Danio rerio: one gene and its partner. The protein of the gene in region 1 binds, or shares a complex with, the protein of each later gene. Links are inferred from orthologs where the notes say so. Each region holds a gene or a part of one and is shown on either strand. Other genes may lie near its edges.

The links. Proteins that work in one complex are often made in the same cells at the same time.
Region 2: the proteins of oprk1 (region 1) and pdyn are in contact, whole or in part, in a cryo-EM structure (PDB 8F7W), measured with the Homo sapiens proteins. The link is inferred for Danio rerio from reciprocal best matches to the Homo sapiens genes OPRK1 and PDYN. Residues at the interface, in NP_000903.2 of Homo sapiens: Thr111, Gln115, Trp124, Val134, Ile135, Asp138, Tyr139, Met142, Lys200, Glu209, Cys210, Asp216, Tyr219, Lys227, Val230, Phe293, Ile294, Glu297, His304, Ala308, Leu309, Tyr312, Tyr313, Ile316, Tyr320; in NP_001177821.1 of Homo sapiens: Tyr207, Gly208, Gly209, Phe210, Leu211, Arg212, Arg213, Ile214.

The regions. Positions count from the first base shown.
Region 1 is NC_133177.1:33,844,802-33,847,338, reverse strand, and holds the end of oprk1 (kappa-type opioid receptor), read right to left. Parts: intron 1,126-2,537; coding exon 590-1,125; coding exon of another isoform or gene 509-589; 3' UTR 501-508; downstream 1-500. UniProt on the Homo sapiens protein: G-protein coupled opioid receptor that functions as a receptor for endogenous alpha-neoendorphins and dynorphins, but has low affinity for beta-endorphins.
Region 2 is NC_133198.1:45,171,412-45,175,622, reverse strand, and holds pdyn (proenkephalin-B precursor), read right to left. Parts: upstream 2,801-4,211; 5' UTR 2,691-2,800; intron 2,494-2,690; 5' UTR 2,482-2,493; coding exon of another isoform or gene 2,479-2,481; coding exon 2,356-2,478; intron 1,259-2,355; coding exon 623-1,258; 3' UTR 226-622; downstream 1-225.

The DNA of each region.
Region 1 (2,537 bases):
ATTTGCATTAGCAATCTGCAGCATGTTTTTAGGAGCCCTCCTCCACCTCAGTTCCATTTGTGTATAGATCTGCTATTGGGGAATTAATGTATGTTGTGCTTGCAGCAGGAGTGTGATATATTCTTAGACAGAGTGTCTGTGAATATATAGAGTCTTGGTAATCAAAGCAGCAGCAGCATAGCAGATCTATTCCACCAAGACCAAACGAATAAACAGTGCCATTTTTATATACTCATTACTCTCTCCAAATCCTTTCAACACCAAAAGAAGCATTGCATCGACGCAGGTAAGGAAAATCTTACATATATACCCTAAAGGACTAGTAACATTATGCAAAAGCCTGTTTGAGCATGACATTCCATCTTTGGTCAACGGGGATGAGAAAGTAAACTCTAAATGAGGTGATGCCGTAAATATTTATATGGACATACTGAATGAACAAAGCCTTTTTGCTCAATCACAGATTCCTAAGCGCCCTCGCCTGAACCTAAACGCCACAATCCCTTCCTCAGATGGCGGTTGTGATCTGTGTCAGTCCCAAGTCATTGGAGTCCTCTCGACCATGAAAAGATGACAGCTCCACGGCTAGTCATACGGGTCGACCCTGGCCTCCATCATTTTTGGCCTCTGCTGGGCACGTGTGCTCTCGGAGAGTGCTTCTGACCCGACTAACCCCACGCCCGTCGCCTGCAGTCCGACCTGGGCAGCAGAAGTCCCTAAAGCAGCGCTTGAAGTTCTCATCAAGGAAGGCGTACAGAATGGGGTTCAGGCTGCTGTTGGTGTACCCCAACGCCACACAGAAAAAGTAGGCAGCCATGACCGATGTGGTCTCCGGCACACCGTGCGAAAGAGCTTTGACCAGGATGAAGATGTGAATGGGGGTCCAGCACACAACGAACACTGCCACCACAACCAGAACCAATCGAGTGATGCGTCTCAAGTTGCGATCTTTTTCACGTGAACCTGAAAGCAGGCGAACGCTCTTGAGGCGCAGAACCATGAGAGTGTAGCAAACGGTGATGATGAGAAGAGGAGCCACGAAGCCAAAGATGAAGACGCAGATCTTCATCAATGTGTCCCAGTAGACATACGGGTCTGGAAACTGCAGAGCACACTCTGTCGTGCCTGCGGATCAAATATGAAACAACAGCGGTTAATTATTAAGCAGAAGTGAGGACAGGTTAATCATGCTTGCTATAATAAGTAGGAACAACAAACACATCAGGATGAAGTGAAGAACTGACTGTCCCATCTATTATTAGAAGAAGATTTGGGATTGTTTTGGTCCCCCTGAGTAAAGTAGGGTAAATTATATGACTGTTCGTATTACATGAACCTCAAAGGCTGGCAAGGAACATCATTTCAAGCCCTATAGTCATGTGTTGAACCAAGAATTTATACCATTAAAATCTAACCGTCAATTTAGAGTCCCACGTTTTAATGAGGTGAAATTAAAAAAATTATTTGTATATCAGGCTATCTTGGAGCTGAATAAGGCCCATGTAAAATTAATTATTATTATTTTTGTATGTCTTTGTCTTTTTGTAAGAAGCATTTATCATGCTGTTATGCAAGAACAAATTCAGATGCAAGTCTGACAATAAAGTATTGTATTATTGTATTATTCTCTTGAATAGATAATAGGTTGATTTGTGATTTCTTTTGGATGTTTTATATGATAGAAATGTATGATATTAATGTTCTCTGACATTTTGAGTTTCAGCATGTTATTGAGTTAATCTACTGAATTTGCTGTTTTTAAATATTAATGTTCTAGAAACAGAATCTTATTAAACAAATTGAGATGTAAATTTTATATATTATTTATATGCATCATTTATTGTTGGCTTTTTCTTTGAAACCTCCTAATAAACATTAAAATGAATCCTCTTTGCCAGATATAATGAAGGCATCAAATAAACCAAATGAAAATGAAGGCGCAGAAAAAACAGATAAACAATATAACCGTCGATGTTGCAGCAGCTAATAGGCATCAGTCGATGTCTTAAAACTGCTAAGTTTATTGTACAAATTGATAAAACTATTTTATATAATGCAGGCATAGGATGTGTAAATATCCTGTTAATATTTAGAAATCTTACTGTTTTTATCTTTTGCTAATATAACCACACACAATTTTTCCCACATGGCCAATAGCTGTCCGTGTTGTGAATATTTTCAGTCCTGTTTATTGCTGAATAAAAATAAAAACCTTTCTAATAATGTAGAGTTGTTTTTATATTATTTTTATGCCTATGAAGATAATAAATACCAACAACTCATTATAAGAGAAATATTTATTGTCCTCATAGCTGAGTCTAACTTAGGCTAGAGTGTATGAAAGATCAATTATTTTGCAGTCCAACATATATTCTATTTATTAAATTATAAAAAAAACTGCTTAAATCACACAGTTTTTAAATAAATCTTAAATTATTACATGTTTTTAAATGTAAGTGCTTATATTTGTTTTAGCAAGCCTCTGCAGTGTAGATACAGGCGGTCAAATAAGAAGTTCGGGGGTGTGTGGTTGATTT
Region 2 (4,211 bases), on another chromosome or scaffold:
ACTTAAACACTCTCGTGAGAACTTTCAGATGGACAGTTCCTGACAAGGTTTATCATTTTTGAGTATAAAAAGGAGGATTATATCTGTCCTAAATCGTTAATGTTGCAAATAACATAACAATGCAGCTTTGAATGTGGCATTAAGCGGAAAAACAAAGTTATTAATTACCTTTATTTTTAGATTAGTTAGAAAAACTTCACACAAAACATTCCCCAAACAATTTTAGCAGGTAAACTTTTTTGCCCTTTATTGGTCATCTTAAACAAGCATTTTCTGCAGTATGTATTGATTGCTTACATATGGGGAAAAGTCAACGGGTGCTATTTTAGGTTTTGATGACTTAGTGGCTAATTCATAGGAAAATATCTACAAAAAAAGAGCGAGCTGGTCATACAAATATATCCACTAATTCACCAAAACCTAAAAAGCAGTTACGAATTGCCATGATATATTGTGTTGCAGAGCACATGATTTACAGGTCGACAGGTGATTGACGGCGTTCAGAAGTCAGCAGCCATTTGGGGATAGTAAAACAGCCTCAACACGCGTAAGATCAAGGTGGAAACAACTGGAATACACTGGCAAAAATGAGTTCTAGTTGAGTTATCAATGATACAACAGCCTATAAAGCATAGTCCTCGTACGATGAGGGCTCTTCGTCAGAGCGCACGGAGATTTTGAAATGGCGTCGTAAAAACCCGCCATATCGCTTTTGGTTGTCCCACCTCAACTTAGGACGAATTCTTCTCATAAAACCACCATATCTCTTCTGTAACACCTGTGGGTTGGTGTCATCCACGAAGTAGCTTCGTTTTGGACCGAATTTGCGAAGAAACCCGCCGTAACGTTTGACTTCGTTTAATGGAACTTCATTATCGTAAACTCCCGTTTCGTTTTCCGCCCCCATATCTTCGCCCTCGTCGTCTTCCGTTATCGACGGTAGGTCTCGCTCGCCCAGTTTCGACAGAGATTCTCCGTATTTCTTCGCGAACAGTCCTTTCAGTATGGCGTTCTCTTTCCAGGGTGAAGAGAAAAACTTATTTTTATTCTTGTCGATCCTCTTGATGAATCCCCCGTATCGTTTTACCAGGTTGGAGGTCTTCTCTTGGAGGTCCTCATCTGTGTTTAACGCGTTTGTTTCTCCGTCTGCGCCTGTATTGAGCTCCGCTAAATCATCTGAAAGCCCCTGTAAAGCCTTCTCACATCTGTCAAGTGTACCGGTAGGCGGAACGGCTCCTTCACACTCTAAAGTACAAGTCTGGAAGAAGAAAAGGAGGTTTAACTGGGCTCGACACTTTCAGAGTTGCCGCCAAAATTAATTCACAGTCAAATACCGACAAAAATGAACCCAAAACAGTTCAAGGATGAAGTACACAAATTGTAGAGCATAATTAAACATTAAAGTTTTTTATGTAAAAATACCAACACATTAGAGTTTTTTTTTATTAGGAACTGCATTAGTTTGCTAATAAATAGATTCAATATCACATTTCAAGTTCAGAACATTTTATTTCATTTCATTTTCTTTCCGGCTTAGTCCCTTTATTAATCAGGGGTCGCTACAGCGGAATGAACCGCCAACTTATCCAGCATATGTTTTACACAGCTGATGCCTTTCCAGCTGCAACCCATCACTGGGAAACATCCATACACAATCATTCACCTACATAGCCTACATACGGAGAATTTAGCTTACCCAGTTCACCTATATCGCATGTCTTTTGACTGTTGGGGAAACTGAAGCACCCGGAGGAAACCCACGCGAACACGGGAAGAACATCCACACATAAATGCCAACCGACCCAGCCGAGGCTCAAACCAGCCACCTTCTTGCTGTGAGGCAAATGTGCTACCCTCTGCGCCATCGTGACGCCTAACATTTTATTATTTACAATAGAAAAAAAATCACATCTGAAAGTGCAACCTATTCTTTTTAATATATATTAATCATATTACCAAAAGCCATATCTGATATTTCCCCAACTGGTTTCTCCAAGCTTTTTGATCTAAAGGAGCGCGTAATAGCCGCGCTCTCCATGGTGCTGAATGCGCGCGCCTCAAATGAAAAGCGCACAGTTTTATTGGAAACCAAATGGTCTTAATACACAGATCTTTCTATTAATTAAATAATTGCTTAATATAGAGTTGATTTAGTTTATAAGTAATTTTTCAATAGTTTAATAAAATACATAAAGCTTTTTTAAGATTATGTTTTCAATGTTTACACCTTTGATTAGCATAGAACATATACAGATCCAATAAGTTTAATTTGTCAGCCAATTTTGGCTTTTTAGTCTTGTGTTAACCCTAAATTAAGCGCACGTAAAACTCAAAATATAGGGATAATAATCTTACCAAGCGGTTCACCGCAGAGTCCAAATCGGAGATCTGTTGCGCGCATCTCAGGCATTGCGCTGAACAATCTGCCTGGCTCAAGGTTGGAAAGCTCAGCATCAACACCAACACATACCACTCCATCATCGACAGTGATTCCTGTGGTGCGAGAGAACAAAAGAAAAGAGGATTTAAATAAACAATATTCCACTCAGGATCCACTTTATCCTCTCAGCTGTTAGGATGCTTTTAGAGTTTTTTTTATTTTTATTTCCAACCATTCATCAATGTTGTTGACTTGTCATCTTACAAATATATTATTTACACACAGTTCAACACAAAATCTGCTCAGTTACCTTGATTACCTACAGAGCTTATCTCGTTCTCCAAGCGTCAAGGCGATCACTTGGGGAAACTTCTTTGTTCTCCTGTCTTTTGCTGGAGTCACTCGTTATCCATCCACGGTTTGCTCTTATTTGGACTCAACCCAGCCTTCATACTTTTATTCACGCAGCCCACACAGCTGTCTGAATGAACGATGGTCTGACCAATGGAAACAACGAGCCATTTGATTGACTGATCCCACCCACGTAATGAGGGTAAAATATTGACGTTATTCTAATATAAATAATACAGATTTAAAAATATTTGAGAAGTGCATAGTGGTTATAAATGGTTTGTGTTCAAGTAGTTTAAATTACACTTCAATTGCATAAATTAGCCTATATTCTTTTAAATAAATATATGAAATTAAATTAAAAATACCCACTTTGACGAGGAGTATGTTGGTAACTTGTATTATTAAGAAGCATCATTAACTCAAGCCTGAGTGCTCCTCTTTTCAAAGACTTCCATTTTCACTTAGCAAGTCCTTGATTGAAATTTCAATGACATAAATCACAGTTTGATTCAAATACTCAATATCCAGACCAAAGCATGGGTTATATATCAGTTCCATGAAAATATAGCCTTTTTCCTGCTTTAACCTCTAACAATCCGGATGTTGTACCGGCTGGCATTGGGTAGCATTCCGTTTATCATGCATATCGTCCTGTTTCTGGAACTCCACAATTCAGTGTATTGGACGTTTCAAGGAAAGCTGTAGCCTAGCAAGATACTGCAGTGCATTGCAAATATGGTTAAAATATCACTCATTTCCATTGAGTCATGAATTACTACTCGCACAATCATCACAATGTTCTTAAAACATCTTTTAATAAATTATAATGGGCTTATGATATGCAGTTTTTATAAAAACAATGTTAATTAATGCCAAACAATTATGTTTTGATGTAATGCATTTAAATGAGAAACCTACATACAAAGTACCAGTAGCACTGACTATTTTGAAACAAGCATGATTAAGATTAATTATAATAAACAATATTTTATTGATGTATGGTTTGTTTGGACAATGTTTGGCTGAGATACAACTATTTAAAAACCCAGAATCTGAGAAAATCACATTCAAATGCCGTCTACATGATTTTCTTAGCTATATGCACATTGCTATGCTAATAAAAACCATTTATTTTGATGTATTTATAGTATTAAATTGACATATTAATGGAACAAATGCCTAATATTCCATATAAAACTGTATATTCTAGAAAAAAAAATCTAAATTTGACTTAGGTTATACAATGTATTTTGCCAAAACTATAGGCTACCAGTGTAATACGATGGCCCAGCGCCATATATACCTTTAAAGATGGCTATGTTGTGAGCTAAATGGGTGGCTAATCAATTGTATATATTTTGTTTCTCATCTGTTCGCATGAATCAATATAAAAACCCAGTTTAATAGGTGAATCCCCTCAGAAAAACGGCATTAATCTCGACGAAGAGCAGGAAACTCCACCAGTCTGTGTGTTATT